Rattus norvegicus: one gene and its partner. The protein of the gene in region 2 binds, or shares a complex with, the protein of the main gene of each other region. Links are inferred from orthologs where the notes say so. Each region holds a gene or a part of one and is shown on either strand. Other genes may lie near its edges. The genes, in order: Klhl2 and Wnk4.

Evidence for each region.
Region 1: the proteins of Wnk4 (region 2) and Klhl2 are in contact, whole or in part, in a crystal structure (PDB 4CHB), measured with the Homo sapiens proteins. The link is inferred for Rattus norvegicus from reciprocal best matches to the Homo sapiens genes WNK4 and KLHL2. Residues at the interface, in NP_115763.2 of Homo sapiens: Glu557, Pro558, Glu559, Glu560, Pro561, Glu562, Ala563, Asp564, Gln565; in NP_009177.3 of Homo sapiens: Arg345, Phe361, Gly363, Ser364, Leu365, Arg366, Thr392, Phe408, Gly410, Ser411, Thr412, Gly413, Ser438, Ser439, Tyr455, Ser487, His504, Arg534, Tyr583.

The regions. Positions count from the first base shown.
Region 1 is NC_086034.1:29,722,181-29,732,055, reverse strand, and holds part of Klhl2 (kelch-like protein 2), read right to left. Parts: intron 6,251-9,875; coding exon 6,133-6,250; intron 4,335-6,132; coding exon 4,137-4,334; intron 3,379-4,136; coding exon 3,277-3,378; intron 1,365-3,276; coding exon 1,236-1,364; intron 725-1,235; coding exon 584-724; intron 1-583. UniProt on the Homo sapiens protein: Substrate-specific adapter of a BCR (BTB-CUL3-RBX1) E3 ubiquitin ligase complex that mediates the ubiquitination of target proteins, such as NPTXR, WNK1, WNK3 and WNK4, leading most often to their proteasomal degradation.
Region 2 is NC_086028.1:86,703,372-86,713,246, reverse strand, and holds part of Wnk4 (serine/threonine-protein kinase WNK4), read right to left. Parts: coding exon 9,655-9,875; intron 8,968-9,654; exon of another isoform or gene 8,933-8,967; coding exon of another isoform or gene 8,888-8,932; intron 8,206-8,887; coding exon 8,033-8,205; intron 7,171-8,032; coding exon 6,950-7,170; intron 6,655-6,949; coding exon 6,497-6,654; intron 5,945-6,496; coding exon 5,856-5,944; intron 5,777-5,855; coding exon 5,560-5,776; intron 2,450-5,559; coding exon 2,185-2,449; intron 1,975-2,184; coding exon 1,853-1,974; intron 1,616-1,852; coding exon 1,557-1,615; intron 1,466-1,556; coding exon 1,351-1,465; exon of another isoform or gene 1,349-1,350; intron 1,102-1,348; coding exon 985-1,101; intron 1-984. UniProt on the Homo sapiens protein: Serine/threonine-protein kinase component of the WNK4-SPAK/OSR1 kinase cascade, which acts as a key regulator of ion transport in the distal nephron and blood pressure.

The DNA of each region.
Region 1 (9,875 bases), on a different chromosome or scaffold from region 2:
CTTCTGATCCTCCTGCTTCCGCTTCCATAAATAGAACGATTAGATTAGAAGCATTTACCACCATGCCTGACTTATATGGCTCTATTGACTGAACAGGCCTCACAAATGCAGGCACACCCTTCTATCAAATAGACTCTTACAGGGGTTTGTCTGTTTTGAGATTGGGTCTTATTTTGTAGCTGAGGCTATCTTGGAACCCTCTATGTAGCTTCAAACTCATTAAAATCTTCCTGCCTCAGCACCCCAAATGCTAGACTGTTGGCATAAGTCATCATGTCTGGTCTGTTAAATTCCTAAAATATTATGTTGGTGCTGGGGATCAAAGCCCTGGTGTTATGTATGTGAGGCAAGCATTCTATATGTGAGGCAAGCATTCTACCACTGCCACTGAGCCAGTCTGCTCCAGCTCTAGGTATTTAAGGGCTTCTTAAATAAGTTTTGGACTGGAATTGCTCAAAGTCTAACAAGAAATGAGATAATTAACAAAAATAAGAACAAAAAAACAAACCAATGGAAATACACAAACTAAGAAAACACCCGTTACATGCAGTATGGATGGCATGATCTTGGGCTTAATAGATACCTGCATTTCTTCTGCACATGTTCATATCTGCGACCTGTCTCCAGGCATTTGTGGTGGGGTCATATACTTCAACACTTTTTCGTACTAAAGGACCATCATGACCTCCTACAGCGTATAATAAGTTGTTTAACACGCCAACACCTAGAAAACACAGTCAAGCGGATTATGGAAGAGCAAGGTAGGCAAGAAACTTGCGAACTTGTGGTGCGGAGCACTGATGCAGGTACCTTGGGATGCAAACCTGAAGTCCTAAGTCTCACTAAGAGGGCACTAACAGGAGGCTCAGCCTGCAGAAATGGAAGGAGATGGACCTCGGTAAGAAGCCCTATCCTGACACGAGAGGAGTCAAGGAGAAGCGACTGATGAGGAGCCCTTTAATAAACTCCTTTCACAAACGTTCTCTAAAGCAGCCTGTGAAGGCATCCGATCGGAAAGGAAGGGCCATGAAAAACCTTCCTCACTGAACAAATGATAAAACACTGTCAGGAAAGCAGAGAAGCTTTGACGCTGTGAAAATGTACAAAAGCACTCCTTCTTACTGCCGCTCAAGCCCACTTAACTGAACCAGGAAAAGTAGCACACATTTCCCAACCCCACATGCAGATGTCCACCAGTCAGCCCACCTCAGATGCTCGCCGGGGCCTCTAGTTACCTGCTCCACTCCGTCTGGTGCTCATTTCTGCTATGTAAGTCCACTCGTTGGCAGTAGCATTATAGCATTCTACTGTGCTAAGACACTGGCGTGAAGCTCCATCGTAACCTCCCACAGCATAGAGCAAACCTAGACGTGGAACCACAAAGAAAGCCAAATAAACAACCTGTTCTCCCCGTCATAAGACATTAGTGTATGCTGCTCTGTGGTAACGGCACCTCCCCTTAATCATTTCTAATTTTCATGATATGCATTAGTCTTGACAACTGCTAGCAGGTGGAATGAGGGAAGGATGTGCTTTCTCTATCTTTCTTATACTTCCATCAATGGTGTGACACTAGAGCAGTGCACTGACTTGAGATAACACCAGCTGATTCATTAACAACGTCTCGGAAAACAGAAATATCAGCTGGGGAAGAGAGTCAGTAGCAGAGGGGCCAGACAGATGGCTGAGCAGTTAAGAGTGCCCCTGTCCTTTAATCCCTAGCACCCACAAGGCAGCTCACAACCATGACACCCTCTTCTGGCATTCATGGGCATATATATGCACACAGTACACAAACCATACATGAAGGCAAAACACTCATATACATTTAAGAAAGAGTCAGTAGCAGAATGTAGTACAGAATGCAATGAAATATCTGAGGAGAAAAAGGCTATGATGTGCTAACACTACATTATGAACGGAGTAGTAATATACATGAGTGACATTAAAAGCATGCGACATGAGACAAGCCAGTCATAAACATGCTATGTGATTTAACTTACATAAAATGTCTAGAAGAGAGGAATTCACAGTGACAGGAAGTATCTAGACTGGGGACTGGGGATTAGAGGGGACAGCTAAGGAAGTAGAAATGGTCTTATTGGGTAACAAAAATGTTCTTAAATGACTTGTGGTGATAGATACATATGGAATCGTTTGAGTCAAATGGGAAGTTTTTATGATATTTCAGTGGTGTTTTATGAAAGGCACTTTAAAGGAGATCTATTTTTATTAATATACGTTTGTGAATGTGGATGCCCACAGAAGCCAGAGGCATTGGAAGCTCCTACAACTGTAGCTACAGGCAGTTGTGAGCAGCCTCCTGTGGATGCTGGGAATCTAACTCCAGTCCTCTGGAAGAACAGTAATCGTCTACTTTTTAAAGTGTACGGAAAGCTGGATCTGGGGGCACACACCTTTAACCCTGGCACTCTGGAGGTAGAAGGCAGGTGGATCTCTGAGTGCAGCCTTGTCTACATGGTGAGTTCCAGGGCAGCCAGCCAGGGCTACACAGTGAGACTCTGTCTTAAAAAAAAGTATGTGTATATACATATATGTATGTATATATAGATATAGATATAGAAATAGAATTTTCCACTAGTGAGGAAGCAACGGAAAAACATAAATTTGTCTAAGCTAGAATTTGAGGGAAAAAAAAATCACACTGAAGAAATAACACACGGGGTTGGGGATTTGGCTCAGTGGTAGAGCGCTTGCCTAGCAAGCACAAGGCCCTGGGTTCGGTCCCCAGCTCCGGAAAAAAAAAAAAAAGAAAGAAATAACACATGGTTTTCCTTCAACTGAGAGCAAAGGGTTAGAAACTAACGTAAAGCCACTAACCACCTCCTGCGTGTTAAAGGGCTCTCGTCCAGATACAAATGTTTGGAAGTTTAATGACCTGAATCGTTTTCCCAACAACTGTCATAAGAACAGGTGAAAAGGTTGGGTGCCACTTAGGGAATAAAGCATGTGTCTAGTATCTGACTTCAATTCCCAGTAGCGTTAAAAAAAGATTGGTTGACAGTCACATAAGTTACGCACAAAGAAGGAGGGAAGAAGAAAACATAGGGAGAGGGAGGGAGGAAGTAGGTGGAAAGGCCTCGCTTATACAGTTTAATTTATATAAATGAGCTCATTGAAAGAAAGAACAATTACAATACATAACCATGCTTTTCTTCTGCCCATTCATAAAACAGTGCCTGGATCTCCCGATGAACCACCCTCTCTACAGCCCAGAGCACCCACAGTGCTCACCGCTGGAGCTCCCAGACCTACCTCCAACAACGCCAACGCCCACACTGCTCCTCCTGGTGTTCATTGGCGCGACATGAAACCACTCATTAGATTTTATGTTGTATGCTTCCACAGATGATAAACCTGTGACAGAGGATAATACCCCTCATTTCCTCTTCCAAAATGACACCATTGTTCTTTTATATAAATACCACTAGGGGAAATAACGTCAGACATTTTACACTGGGCTAAAATTAAAAGAAGAGCAGGAGGGAACGTGCTCGCTCCACGGTGGGAGTGGCTTCTCTACTGAAGCTTCTACTTGGGCTGCTGCCATTTATAAACTTTTTAAACATGGAAGAATGATGGATATTAAGGCATCAGAAACAAAATGTATATCGTCTGCACTGTCACGCCATTTAAAAGCAGTTATTTAGGTGTTTCTATGACCCTACATAAAAGCTATTCATGTGTGTGTGCATCGCTCTGCAGTGCCTCCTCAGGCCAGTAGAGGGTGCTGGGTATCCCAGTGCTGGAGTTGGAGTGGGTTGTGATCTGCTCTGTCTGGGTGCTGGAAATCAAACTCTGGTGCTTTCAAAGAGCAGCAAACACCCTTAACCACATCTATCCATCCTCCACTCATATCTCTTAAAGAAAATTTGAATTTAGGGTTTTAAGACAAGTTCTCACCCTGGAGCCAATGCTACCCTCAAACTTATAATCCTCCTGCCCCCAAATGTCACCTCACTGGTCTCGAAAGAAATTGCCAGTGTCATTTTAGAGCTTCTCTAAAATAACTGCTAAGAACACTAAAGCATGTGCTAACGTCATTATGATTGGCACCATAAATGTGGCTACCGTGTCAGTTACCTATTATAGCAACGCGGGAGAGAGGCAGTTACCTGTGCTGCCGTCAAAGCCCCCCACTGCATACAGCAGCCCGTTCAGCACCGCTGCCCCCAGCGTGCTCCTTCGGTCGCGCATGTTTGCCACGCTGGTCCACTGGTCTTTCACAGGGTCGTAGGAATCTACAGTGCGAACTCTCAGTGAGCCATTGAAGCCACCGACAGCAAAGACCAGCCCCGCCATATACACCATCCCTGCAAAGGAAGAAGTCAATTCAGATGAGCACGCCAGCTACAGTTAGCCTGACCTCAAAGCAGGCACCTACAGTGTTTGTGGGAACACAGAACTCGTAAGAGCTGGGTCAGTCTTGAAAATTTCTCTTCATTTGTAAGAAACAAAATCAGAAGTGCACCATGGGATGTGTACTAGGAATCCACTGCAGCAAAGATTCTTGTAAGATAATAAGATTAATTGTAAGATTAATAAGTTTAATGTCCAATTAAAACTAGTGGGGTAGTTTTCAGTGGTGAAGTGCTCGCCTGCAACTTAAAAACAAAATCTATATGACAAAGGTGCAGAAGGGCAGAGGAGCGGGAGGAGAGAGGCAGCAGGAGGGGAAGGAGAGAGGGAGGGAGGGAGGGGGGGAGGGAGGGAGGGAGGGAAGGAGGGAAGGGAGTGAGAGAGGGAATGCGTATGTGAGAATGTGTGTGTGTGTGTGTGTGTATGATATGTGAGAGTGTATGTGTGTGAAGGGATATGTTGTGAGAGTATGTGTGTGTGTGATGTGTGTGTCTGTGTGTGTGAGTGTGTGTGTGTGTGTGAGAGAGAGAGAGACTGTATATGTATAAGAAAGAGTATGTGAGTGTGTCTGAGAGTGTGTATATTTGAGAATGTGTGTGTGTGAGAGAGTATGTATGTGAGAGTGTATGTATGGAGGGTATGTTGTGAGAGTATGTGTGTGTGTAAGGTTATATGTGTATAAGAGTGTGTGTGTGTGCAAGGCCCTGGGTTCGGTCCCCAGCTCCGAAAAAAAGAACCAAAAAAAAAAAAAAAGAGTGTGTGTGTGTGTGATGTGAGTGTATGCGTGTGTGGGAGAGACTATATGTGTATAAGAAAGAGTACATGTGTGAGTGTGTCTGAGAGTGTGCATATTTGAGAATGTATGTGTGATGATAGAGTATGTATGTGAGAGTGTATGTGTGTGGGGGGGTATGTTGTGAGAGTATGTTGTGTGTGTGAGAGAGACTGTATGTGTGTAAGAGTGTATGTGTGTGTGTGTCTGAGAGTGTATGTATATGAGAGTATGTGTGTGAGACTGTATGTATATGAGTATGTGTGTGTCTAAGAGTGTGTGTATGTGAGAATGTGTGTGTAATGAGAGTGTATGAGAGTGTGTGTGTGTGTATGTTGTGAGAGTATGTGTGTGTGTGTGAGACTGTTTGTGTGTAAGAGTATGTGTGTGTGTCTGAGTGTATGTGTGTGAGAGCGTGTGCACACGGTCACATACACACTCTCTTAGATAACAGGCTCATATCCTAGCCTTCCACTCTTACAGACTGACGTGATTCGGGGTATGCTATTTCATTAAGGTGACAGGAAATCAGGCCGCAAATCACCAGCTCTGCCGGTTTATTCTACAAAATCAGAACAGTGCCTGAAGGTGAGGGCAGGGCAGCAGCCAGGTGTAATGGATGACATAGGTAATCCTAGCACTTGGGAGGCAGAGGCAGACGGAACAGGAAATTCAAGGCCAGCCTGGGCCATAGAGACACAGAGACTCTGTCTTCAAAAAAATAAAATAAAATAAAAACGAAAAGAGCTGCTATCCTTTCCACAGAACGGGCTCAGTTAGGTTTCTAAACAACATCCTTCTCTTCCTTTTTCTTTTTCTTTAAAGAGGGTCTCGGCTGGCCTTGAGCTCCCCATCCTCCTGCCTCCACCTCTGGGGAGCTGGCATTGAAAGCACAGACTACGCCTGGTTTTCTAATAGACGTGTTTCCTACTGACGAGTAAGACCCAGCAACAGAGCTGGCTGGAAAACCCCACGCTCACCTGCCCTGCACCTCCTGGACGGCAACTCTGCCACCTGGTGCCATCGCTCCTCTTTGAAGTCGTAGCATTCCACACTTCGGATGGCCTTTGGTGCCTGGCCCCCGACCACCACCATCAACTACAAGGGAACAAATGTAAGTGCTTGAACCAATGATATCGCCTACTCAAGAGACTGACCGTATCCTACACAGACAGGAGACATGCTGGAAGGAAATGCCTGCCCAACCAACACGTCAGTGACGCCAGCAAGGGGCACAGGTTAGAACAGCAATTCTATCACCTAGCACATTTGGTTTAAAAATGTGGCTTTTCAGAAATGTAAAAAGGCTTCTGGCCACTCAAGCAAAAGCAGTACTTAAGGCAAAACAGTAGGGAGCCAACACTGGTAGGGCTATAGAGTGTCATGGAGCTTGCTGTCAACCAGATCCTGCTTCAGCAGTGATCAGAGGCTGCCAGGGCGTAGGAAACAGAAGTACAGCGTTGTACCAGGTAGTGAGTAAAAGGTCAGGAGAGGATTCATAGATGGAGAAATCATTTTAAATTGAGGTCATGAGTAGATGAGAATATAGAATCATGGACCTTAAGGAAAGAGGCCCCTCTTGAGGCTCCATAAATAAGCCATCGCCAGAACAGAATGGAGACATCAAGCTCCTAATGACCACACAAGCATCGGTCTACTGCTGGCAACAGATGGAGGCTGAGGAGCAGCCACGGGCCACCCTGACCGCTGATTAACGAGTACGCTAGGGACTACACAGGACACCTTTCTACTCACCAAGAGCCTATAAACCTCACCGAGGAACCAACTCCCAGAATGCAATACAAGACCAGTATGCAATTATATGCAGTCGAATACCTGTATGACAGTAACTGCTAACGGGACCAGAAAAGGGGGAGTGACCATAATTCAGCGAAAGCTTCCTAAGGAGCTGGAGCGAAGGGCTTGTAAGACGGACAGGACCTAGAAACTCCTGTGCTAGTCTTTTACCATACACATGGGCACTTCCTGGCAATGGGGAGTAAGAATGGCAACGTCAGCATGATGTTGTGGTTAATGAGGTCTTGAATGGAAAACTGTAAAGAATGGGCAGGGCTTTGAGGGGAGGATGAGACCATGACAAGGGAAATGAATACTGAGAATAAAAACTCATGACAAACCCAATGTGCAGATGCTCACACCCGTGTGTGGGCTGTGGTCCTGGAGTACTTCAATCTAAAGGAAGGTGTGCATGGAGTCTCAGAGTTACTGTGTAAAGCCGAAACCCTTAGGCATGTTAAGGCTTAGCGTAGACCAATGGCGTGAATATTTCAGCCTATTCCTCTAGTTCTGACTCCAAACAAATATAAAGGACTAAAGAAAAATCATTCCACACTATTACGAAAAGGTCAGTATGAGAAGGACTGTACAATCAGTCTTGCACGGTCACATCAAGCTCAGCCCTGTGCATACAGATCTGTGCTCACACCTCAAAGTTCGGTCTGACAGTGACACAGTGTAGAAAGGGTCTGCAATGATGTATCCAGTGAAGATCAATTCAAGCATCAGACCTCAGAACTGAATGTAGATACCCTAAAGACCGTGTTCTTAACGTTAATTAGACGTGCATATGTGTGTATAATTGTGGGTTTGTGCACGTTGAGTACGGTATCTGCAGAAGACAAAGGATAGGAGTCCTGGGAAGCAAACTCAGGTCCTCTGTAAGTGCAGTGCACACTCTTGAGCACCGAGCCATCTGTCCAGCCCCAGAGTAGTTTAAAATCCTCAGCCGGCACCTCTGAAGTGAGGACAGAGGAGAAAGCATGTCACCACAGAGGACAGGGTAGTACCTTCACTTTACTTCTCCGAGAAAGACAAAGTGGGATAGAAACACGTATTCCAACAGAGTACATGCAGGAAGGATGCACGGGAGGCATGGGAGCAGGGAGACAGTGGAACACACGGAGAAACAAGAGTGTGGCAATCAGCAAAGGGGTTGTCATATCATAGACTGCCATGACTGATTTGTGGAGAAAAATGAATGGTAACATTAGGGGACGCCAAGAGGAAAAAAGAGAAGTAAATTTATCCTAAATGCAGGTTGCTTACTTTCTGCACCCAGAAATACATCAATATTTATTTCCCAAAAGGGAGGAGTTAGCAGAGATAACAAAGCACAGCAGCAGAACATACACAGTGGGCTGGGGAGATGGCTCAGTGATTACGAGTACACACTGCTGTACTCCAGTCCCCTGCACCCAGGCTGCGTGGCTCACACGTGCTTGTGCCTCCCGCTCCACAGAATCCTTTTCCTCCTCTGGATTTCCTACATGCACATTCATATTCGTACACACAGACACATAAATAAAGATAAAAAATAAACTTAAAGGGCAGGAGAGATGGCTCAGTGGTTAAGAGCAATGTCTGCTCTCCTAGAGGTCCTGAGTTTAATTCCCAGCAACCACAGGGTGGCTCCCAACCATCTGTAATAGGATCCGATGCCCTCTTCTGGTGTGTATGAAGACAGCTACAGTATACTCATATACATAAAATAAATCTTTTTAAAAAAACTACAAAGTGTAGAGTTTCCTGTTATGAAATCCGAATGTAAAGATGCCTTACCTCGCAGAATCTCTGCATAGTTTCCCCAGAATACAAAAGTCATGCGTGAGACGAGAAAGCCCATGTGCGTGAGTGCAGTCGGGGACATAAGTCGGGGACTATGAGATACACGTGTACACAACTTTAATCCCACTTCCTTCTGACCTACTTCCCTAGAATAAATCCTGAACACAGCCACTGCCTAATGATAAATGGTATCAGGAAAACTTTCTATTCAAGACCCTTTCTAAACCGTGCGCACAAGCCAATGTCCGAGAAGGGGTGGACATACTCAAAGCTGTGCTGCTGTTTGAACGGTTGGCCACGTTAGGGACTCTTCCAAAACAAGGGATCCCAAGGAAGCTAAATACCAGAGAACCTCATGAATCCATGCACCGCATACCACAAGCAGGAGCTGAAGCCTGGAAAACTCTGGAAGTATGTAACGGTGGAAAAGGTAGGCCATACCAGAGAGGCCCAGGGGACAGCGCAACTCAATAGATGGCTTATACCTTACAAAGAAAATGAAACACTCGGCAGGATTTTACCAAGAGTTCCTTGGCTCTTTGAATTGCCATGTTTAGCCTGGAAATTAGGTGAAATGAGGTTGAATTCATCTTTAATCAAAAAGCCTCTCTGCAGTGTAGCTAGAAATGCCAGAAAACAGAGCAGGAGCTAAGAAGGCTTTTATTTTTCCTCTCACAGACATGAAACGTTTATGACGTATTTAAGTTAAGTGGTGAGGTGGCTCAGCAAGGAGAGGTGCCTCCCACCACTCGATGAGAAGTTCAACATCCAGGGCCCGCCCACACGGGGAGGAGAGAATGCACTCAAGTTACATGTGCACACACAAGTGCACACACCTACACATGCACACACAGAGAGACATACATACATGCAGACACACACACGCACAGACACACACACAGACACACACAGACACACACAGACACACAGACACACAGACACACACACACACACACACACACACACACACACACACACACACACACACTTTAGGCTGGAAAGGTAGCTCACTGAGTAAGAGCAGTCACTGCTCTTCACAGGTACACAATAAAATCCCAGCACCCACCCTGGGTGTCTCACAACACTGTAACTCTAGATCTGAGGAATCTAATATCAACTTCTGACCTCCATGTGTGAA
Region 2 (9,875 bases):
CCGGGAGTATTTCATTTCTGCTTCCTGCCTATCTGGTTTCTTGTGTCTACCTCCTGATCAGAGTCTTTACTCCTAATACCTTCCCCTATGCCACAGCAGATCAGTCTTCTTAAAAATCCATTCTCGGGCTGGAGAGATGGCTCTGTGATTAAGAACACTAGCTGTCCTTCCAGAGGTCCTGGGTTCAACCCCCAGCACCCACATGGTGGCTCACAACCATCTGTAATGGGATCCGAAGCCCTCTGGTGTGTCTGAAGACAGCGACAGTGTACTCATACATAAAATAAAAAGCTAATTTAAAAAAAATCTAAAAAAAACAAACGAACACCCAAACATCAACAACAAAAAAACCCATTCTCATCATGTCCCTCTCTGCCTAACTTCCTTTGTTTGCTTCACAGAGTCTCATGTATGTAGCCTGGGTTGACCCTGAACTGCTGTGCAGCCCAGGATGACCCCAATCATTGATCTTCCAGCTAACTCCTCCCAAGAGCTCAGATTGCAGGCATGCACTGCCCACAGCTGCCCTTCTTTAGCTCTTATGATATGTGCTGAGTTCCGCTTCCCAGGACACTCCTGTAGGATCCCCTTTCTCCAGGGACAGTGGTCTCTTCACGAAGTCAGCACTAATGGCTTTACTCATGCCCTGCTTCCAAAAGGACATGCCGCCGCCCCGCCCCCGCGCCGCCCCCCGCGCTTCCCGGCCACTGCTACTCATCTGCTCGGCCTGGGTAAATCCCACTCCTTCCACCCTGCTCCAGTCCGTCCTTTACTTCCAGTCACCTTCTCTAGCAGGAAGTCACATCACTCTTATCTTCCTAGTCCATATTGATATCAGAGTGCTCTGACTGGATACACAGAAATCTCCCCCGCACAAAGGCCAAAGCATCTTCACAGTTGCCCTGCCAACCAGGGTTTATACGCCCTCATTGCAGGGTCGGGCTATGAATCCAAACGCTCGGTCCTCATCTCTCTCCCCCTCACCATGGCAGCTGCGATTTCTTCTGGGCTGTCCCCATCCAGATCAAATCGGAACGTCACCATCTTGCTGTTGTGAGTTTGCAGCTGGCACTCCACGACTCTGTCGCTCTGGTCTGAGACCTTTCAGATTCAAAGTCAGCAGAAGGGAAGAAGTCAATGCCTCTGCCTCGGCCATGTGTTTCCACCCTGCTAGAGGCTGGCCAGGGTGGAGAACGGATTCTAGGCCCAGAGTCTGGCATTGAAACTAGACTAGATGCCTCAAAGCATCACCAGTCACAACTCCGCTTTTCTGCCCTGCCCCACCCCCATCTCCCTGGCAGTCCCCTACTGGTCCTGTGGGTTATTCTCCAGCTCCTGGGTCCTCCTTACACTCGTGACCCGAAGCCGGGATCGAGGTCTCCGTCGCAGAGTCTTCACTGGATTTTTCCTCATTTGCCCCCCTTCTCCCATGTCACTGAGGCCTGAGGCTGCATCTGAGGCGTAGCTGGACAGGGAAAGGGAGACAGAGGGTTTAAGTAGATAAACCCAGAACATTCTGTGTCTCACCCTGCCATCTGACTGAAACCAGAACATACCTGTCCCCAGGAGAAAAGTCACTGCCAGGGCCAGACCGTGGAATGGACAAGGCAAAACCCTGGAAGATGATAGAATTCATAAGGTCAGGGGATAATAGCTGCTGATGGTGGTGGAGACCCGGGGGAAATGGTGTCAGGATGTGGGGAGAACACTAGGGAAACAGAATTGGAGACATAAGGACAAGAATGGTGTGTTTCAGGAACCCAGGGAACGGGGTAGGGGGTTGGGAGTCAGGAGAGAGGGACAGGTCATGGGCTTTGAATGGCTGGAAGGCTCTGGGGTGACCCCCTCTCACCGAGGGCAAGCAGAGATGGGGCTCAGCGGGGCTGGATGGCATCCCCCCGGGGGGCTGAAGGGCAGGGTCTGAGGCATCCAGGAAGCCGGAGGAGCTGAGGTAGCCATCAGTCTCGCAATCAGCTGGTAGGGGAGGGAGTGGATCAAAAAAATAAGAAAAATAATAAAGGACTGTGGTGGGAGGGGAGGGGGACCTGTCTGAGCAAAGAGGGGCCTGGAGCCAGGAGGGAATTGTGGGAGTGTTTGTCCCCAAAGGAAGGTACGTGGCTCGAGTTAGAAAGCTGGGTTGGGCTGGACTTCTGGGACCTAGAACTCAAAGTTGGGGTGACTTACATGTAGTGGATGAGTAGCTGGCATGGCGGAAGAGGAAGGATTGGTGCTGGTCAGCCTCTGGCTCCTCGGGCTCTGGGGGGAAGGCACTGGGGGGACCAGGAGTCATAGACACAGTTGCTGGAGGAGGTCCTGAGTCTGGTGGGAGAACCTCCAATTCCCTGGCTTTTCTTAGCTTCTCCCGCTTCCGCTGGATGGCAGCAACCCGTTCTCGAACTGCACGGGCCACTGGCTGGTAGTCTGCTTCGCAGACTAAGCCCAAGGCTACCTGGAGTCAGGATATTTAGGGAGATGGTTTTAAATTTTTTAATTTCCCCCAAAGACTGAGCAGGGACGTGGGAGCTGTCTAAGTTAGTATGATGTTTGCTGCATTAGGCATAAAGCACGAGTCTGTCCCCAATACTCGCATAAAGCTTCAGGTATGCACGCCTGAAACCCCAGTGCTGGGGAGGCAGAGAAAGGCAGAGTCCCAGAGCTTGCTGGCCAGTCAGTCTAGCCTTAGCAAGCCCCAGATTCCAGTAAGAAACCCTGTTTGGCCATTAATCCCAGAACTCTGGAGGCACAGGCAGGCAGTCTCTGAGTTCTAGGCCAGCCAGGACTACAGAGAAACCCTATCTCAAAAAACAAGGTTGCTCCTTCCAGAGACATGACACCCAAAGTTAACTTCTGGCTTCAACATACATATACTTACACATCTGTACGTGGAGAGAGAGAGAGAGAGAGAGAGAGAGAGAGAGAGAGAGAGAGAGAGAGAGAGAGGGGAAGAGGGGGTGAGGGGGTGGATAGATTCATCTGGACACCTTTAACTGACTTTACAAATATGCACACACACATCCATACTTGGGGAGTTATCTATCAGGACACCTTTTTGAGGCCTCTAGGAATAAGGAGGGAACTATTTTTTTAAAAGAGTTATTCATTTATTATATATAAGTAAACTGTACCTGTCTTTAGACACAAGAGGGCATCAGATCTCATTACAGATGGTTATGAGCCACCACGTGGTTGCTGGGATTTGAACTCAGGACCTCTGGAAGAGCAGTCAGTACTCTTACCCTCTAAACCATCTCTCCAGCCCAGGAGGGAACTACTTATTGATTAATGACCATGTGTGTTAACTGAATTCATCATCATCCTTAAGTCTTCTCAATAACATTATGAGATAAACTTTGCCATTGTTGTTTTGGATATAATACTGCAATCAGAAAGACCTGATTTCCAGCCTCCAGTACCCATGCAAAAGCATGTGTACACATGCATTCATGTGCATACCCACATGCATAAAAGGTACATCACACACACAGGAATCCCTTGCTCCCTCACAGATAATAGATCAAGACTTGATCTTGAAGGCAGCAAAATATCTCTGTGTTTAAAGGTGCCTACCATCAAGCCTAATGGCTTGAGTTTAACCCCCAGGACCCACATGATGGCAGGAGAGAACTGACTCCCACTAGTTGTCCTCTGACTTCTACACGCATGCTGTGGCACATGTGACCCCACATATACATGCACAGTCACACACAACATAAACAAGATGTCACTCTTAAAGGACTGAATCTTGAGTTGAGCTGGGCAGTGCTCTGGAGATTGCTTTTGTGCCAAAGGGTCTCACTGTGTATGCCTGGATGGCCTGGAGCTCACTGGCTGGATTCATAAGTGATTCATTTACCTCTGCTTCCTGGGATTTAAAAAAAAAAAAAAAAAAGTGCCCCAGGGCTGGAGAGATGGCTCAGTGGTATTAAGAACACTGACTGGGGGGTTGGGGATTTAGCTCAGTGGTAGAGCGCTTGCCTAGGAAGCGCAAGGCCCTGGATTCGGTCCCCAGCTCCGAAAAAAAGAACCAAAAAAAAAAAAAAAAAAAAAACACTGACTGGGCAGAGTTTGTGATTCGGACGAAGAAGATTGAAGTCATGGCTGGTCCAGAAAGTGATGGCCAATTCCAGTTCACTGGTATTAAAAAATATTTCAACTCTTATACCCTCACAGGTAGAATGAATTGTGTCCTGGCCACATATGGAGGCATTGCTTTGTTGGTCCTATACTTTAAGTTAAGGCCTAAAAAAACCCCAGCTGTGAAAGCAACATAAATGGATTTTGAAATGTCTGGCCTCATCTGTTAAGTCCCATGCCTGAAGAAGCTGATGTGAACTCATCATGTAATACTCAATTTGTACAATAAATTATGAACCTGAAAAAAAAAAAAAAAAAAGGAACACTGACTGTTCTTCCAGAGGTCCTGAGTTCAATTCCCAGCAACCACATGGTGGCTCACAACCATCTGTAATGGGATCCAATGCCCTCTTCTAGTGTGTCTGAAGACAGCTATGGTGTACTTATATACATAAAATAAATAAGTAAATCTTTTTTTTAAAAAAAGAGCCCCACTAAGCCAGCATGGTCTCAGCTTCTTGACTCATCACAGATGACCCTTGACCTTGAAACTGCCATTTCTCTATTGAGAATCCCATATTCTCACCCTCTGCCCATTCAGGTTCTCCTCACAAGCTTTCAAGGTTGTGCTCTGGCATCTTCTATCTCCACAGTACTTTCTCTTCCACGGATCTCTGCTCCTCACCTCCCCCTCTCCTATTCAAATCAATTTAGCCGTGGGCTTTGCCGGGTGAGTAAAAGAAATGTGGTAGGGCCAACTGATTTCAAATCTGAACAGCTTGAGATTACATCCCTCTTTGTCATTTGTTTTCTTGGGACTCTAGACAAGACAGTCACTCTCTCTAAGCATGCATTCCATAGCCCTCCAAAGAAGGTCACGTGAAAAATGCTTTCTTTTTTAAGCCACATATAATGTTAAGAAGCATCTGCTAATTGCCAAACAGTAAAGGACCGAGGGGAAAAAAAAATCAATAAAATACTGTCTGGCCACAGATAGTTTCTAGTCTAGCAGAGGAGTGAGATGGGAAATGTATTCAGGTATAAAACAAAGCCCAAGGTTTGAGGTGGTTTCGAGCCCCCCCCCCCCGCCCGCCCCCAGATTTGAAAAGAAGCATTCAGCGTTTACACAGGAGGAGTGAGCGTCCTGGAACGGATGGTGCTAAGCATAGAGACAAAGAAGGGGGAGAGGGAAAAATAAATAGATAAGTTGCCAAGAAGGGCATTCCCGTGATAAATGAAAAAATGAATCTGCGTGCAAAGAAGTGACGTTAGGGTTTCCCGGATTTGTTCTGGGGGAGAACCCTGGCGTGCGCTGGTGGATTAGGGCAGAAGAGGCGGAGAGACCCCTGTTGGAGCTGCAGCTCTGAGTAGGAGCCTCCGCTCGCTACTCTAGCGCTGCACCTTGACCCCTCCTGTTGACTGATGGCAGGCTGGCTGAACCCTTTACACACTCCACCCAAGTAGGATTATCTATACTCTCCTCACCATCTCCTGAGCCACCTCTTCCGCTGCATCCCGACCGAGCTGGAACAGGAACTCGATGGCCTGGTTGTCCCTTGGGCGCCCCCCGCGTCGTGCGTCCTCCATGCGCAGCCAGAGTTTGAGACCCGGCTTCTCTCCATCATCTTCCTCTGCCAGCTCCACATGCACACCACGTTCCTCGCGGAAGAACGCGTGGGTCAGAAGATCCTGGATAGTGAACCTGGGGACCGTGGGGGCAGTGAGCGGAGCCCGCTGCCACTGCCCGGTCATCTTCATCCCGTCTCTGTCCCGGACCCCACCTCTCATTCTTATCCGTGCGGATGCAGCCTTCAATGATCTCCTTCACCTCTGGCATCTTCACTTTGTAGAAGCTGTTGGGCTTTGTGCCCTGAGAGAAGGGATCTCATGAGCCCCCCCCCGCCCCCGTTGCCCACGCCCGCCTCGCTCAGCAAGTCTGCAGTGCAGGCAGGCGCCCAGGCTCAGGTTGGGGGAAGATACTGGTACGGAAAGACTTGATTTCAGATCCCATTCCCCCACCTATGTTGGTGTGACCTTGCCTGAGGGTAGAAAGTTTGCCTGGCTCTTCTAGTAGGGCAACTAGAAAGATCTACTGAGACTGGATGTGAAGTTGTCTGTAAGCATACACATCTTCTTACCAGCTTGTGTGAAGGGTTTATGTACATACAATATATGTCTGTTTCTCCAGGGCATCTTTTTGTCTGGCCTGGCTTTATTAAGGATAAATGTTTGTGTGTGTGTGTGTGTGTGTGTGTGTGTTACATATACACACACATATATAATTTGATACATGTATAATATATACCCTTCACATATGTTAATATAATGTATGCTAATGTTATGTATTAGCAGGCTAGTTAGAGGGTAGAAGAATGGGAGGGCCACTGGGGATCCCTTCTTCCCCAAACCCCACCCTTCTCACCGAAGTGACCTTTCGGTAGATTTGTGCTGCGTTCTGACACTCAGAGTAGGGATACTCAGACGTAGCCATCTCCAGCATGCACATGCCAAAGGCGTACACATCCACAGCCTCGTCGTACTTTTCCTCATACATCTCAGGGGCCATGAATTCCGGGGTCCCTATTGGACCCACAGAAAGGATCAGGCTTCTTTCTCCTGGTCTCCTCCCTCCACTTAGGTATATCGCACAGGGGGGGGGGGGGTTGGGGGTAGCTTTAATAGCCCAAGAGCAACCCCAGGAGTTCTGGAGTGCTGGTGACCAACTCTTGCCCAAAGCCTGTGCTGGGGGCAGGAAAAATGGGTCGCCCTAGTACGCTATCTCTCCAAAGCCCTGATGGAGTGGAGTGAGGGGTCCCGTGCTCTTTTCTGATGCAAAGGAGCTAACAATGGCCAGGGTCCTGCTGGAGAGACACACCAATGACGCTCTTGGCAAAGGAGGCGCGCTTGAGCGTGGCCAGTCCGAGATCTCCGATTTTGACAGAGCCTGAAGGGCCGGTAATGAAGACATTGTCACATTTGAGATCTCGGTGCAGGATGGGGGGCACTCGGGAATGTAAGAAATGAAGTCCCCGTAGGATCTGGCGACTCCAGCGCTGAAGGACTCGGGGCTTCATTTCTCGGAATCTCCTCAGGTACCTGGGAGAGGGTGTATAACCGTGGTCAGGGCGGGGATATCTATTCCAGGCTGGAAAATTCCTTATCCCACCCTTGCCAACACCTCCGCTGTCCCCAGCCAGCATTATTTTAATTTAGACTGGTCTGGGTGGGAAAGAAACTGAGTCAATGAGTGAGGTAAACAGGTTACAAAAAAAGTTCTGATGGTAACTTCGAAGATAGGGCCCGTGCCCCGGAGCACCGGAAGGGATGACTAACAGTCCAAGGGTTGGGAAGGAATAACTTTTGTCTTGAAAAAATATAAATTCAAGGGTGAAAATGGGGAGGGATGGAGATTTCCCAGGCTGGAGAGCCACAGGAGTGACAGTTCAGAATGGGAGGGATCACAGAATTGGGGTTGTTTGTAACTTCAGCTCAAGAAGAGAGTGTCTGAGGGAGTGAATGCACTTTACCCCCAGGGGAGTGGGAAATCCTGAAGGGGTTTAAAAGAGCAAGTCAAAGGGTCAGGCTTCCCCTGGGTTGCAGGAAGATAGGATAACTTGAAGGGAGGGCAGATTGGGAAAGGCTCTTTAGGAGGGCTTCTGGGAGTTGGGAGGGGTCAGTGGTATAGCAGCAAGGTAGAGGAAAAGATGGGGGGGTGCAGTGGGAGGATGTTAAACAAAGACTTAAGTGACCCCACTGTTGAGAAAGAAGGTACATTGCAGTAAAGATACCTAAAGTTTTGACTGGTATGCTTGGTGTACACTGGCATTCACACAGTCTAGTAAGTGGGAGAGAGCCTGGTTTCAAGTGTGGAAGTTTGAAGTGACTGGGAGAAGTTCCCAGAGCCTTGGAGTGACGGGTGACATTCCACCCCTCCCCTCCCACCCAGGCCAGAGCTCACGTCTTGAGCGTGCCCGAGGTCATGAGTTCTGTGACCAGCACGATGCAAACCTGACCCCTCAGCACCGACTTCCAGGAGTCATAGAAGCGGACGATGTTGGGGTGCTGCAGCCCCTTGAGCATCTCAACTTCCTCAGAGAAACGCTGCCGTTCAGCCCGAGAGAGTTTCCGAGTCTGTGGGATGGGGGTGACGGAGGGTCACATCAGATCCAGATCAACCCCCCCCAAGAAGGACATGGGACATCTAGGGTATGGTGGGGGGAGAAATGAGGGAGGGTATAGTTGGCGAGATCTCTAGCAGAAGGGCTGTAGACCCCCAACTTTTGGTTGATCCCTTCTTATTGCTCCAAAACACACCCACCCTGGGCCTGGGGCAGCACTCCGGACCCCCTGCTGGACACAAGCGCCTTTATGCAACCAGGTCTGGGAGCTATGCACTCAATAGCGCCTTTGTGGCCGCCAGAGCCGACCGTGGAAGGGGTGGGGTGGGGTGAAGGGGGGGTGGCAGACGGCAGGCAGCAGGCAGCAGGCAGAAGGCAGACCACGGGCAGGGAATTGGGGCCGACAAGGGGTTGGCCTTAAAAACTAGGAACTGCAGAATCTAGACAGAGTCCGAGGAAGGTACCAAGAAAGAAAAGATCCAGGGCCAGGAGACCACCCCCCCATGGCAGGAGCTGCCCTACCCCTCTTTTCTCCCTCTCCCTCTCCCTCCCCTGAGTCTGGCTGATTCTCCTGGCCTGGCTTAGAGCCTGGGGTGCGGCACTAGCAGTGACTAGCGGAGAGCCCTATGCCAGGACCAAAGTGGAAGGACCCTTCCTCCTGGTTTTATACCCTAAAAATTTCCGGGACCACTCACACATAACAGTGGGAGACACGGGAGGAAGAAACTGCCAATCAACATCCTCCTGAAGTCCAAAGGTTGCAAGAGCTCAGCTCCTTTGGCAATGGAAAAGGAGATTCCAGGTATGCATAGGGATGAGAAACTGAACTGGACTCCAGCTAGAACTAGAGCTTCCTGTCCCACTCCTTGAGGCTGTTAAGAAGTCTGTAAAACCAACAACTCCAGAAACGGCCTGGAGAACCCCCTTCTGGAGGTGGAGAGGGCCTTGTCCTCAGCTCCTGAACTCCCACATATTATTTCTAAGTTTGTAAAGAGGTAGGAGGAGGAGAAGGAGAAGGAGGAGGAGGAGGAGGAGGAGAAGGAGGAGGAGGAGGAGGAGGAGGAGGAGGAGGAGGAGGAGGAGGAGGAGGAGGAGGAGGAGGAGGAGGAGGACCAGAGACACAGCAGAAGGTTTCAGGACTTGGAGGAGCAAGAGAGGAAGGGGCAGTGATACCCCAGGCAGGAGACTGGAGTGCTACCCGCTGCAACTCAGTTTTCCAACCCTCAGATTTGTAAGAAGGTTTGAAAGTGAAGTTGTCTATGCTCATTGGGAGCCACTGTATACCATCTGCCTCAGTTTCTCCTGAAACCACCCAGAGTCAGTAAAACCATGCCGGCAAGGAAAGCAAGAGTGCCTGGACATCTGACAAAAAAGTGATCCTTCCTTTGATGCTGTCCTCCCTGTTTCCCCAACCTAAGACCACCAAAGGGGCCCATCCCACCTAGGGGGTGCCCAGGCACACCTGCAGCTCACACCAGGCCACCTCTACCGTGGTGTCGGTGTCTAGCCCTCGATACACGGTCTTGAAGGAACCTCTTCCAATCTCAATGTCAAACTTGAGGTATCGGCCGTCGGGAGACGTTGCCACAGCCTGGGTCTCTGTGTCCTCTTTTTCTTCCTGCTCCCGCCGCCGTTCCCGGGCTGCAGCATCAGGAACCCTTGGTGGCTCCCGGGACCCCGGAC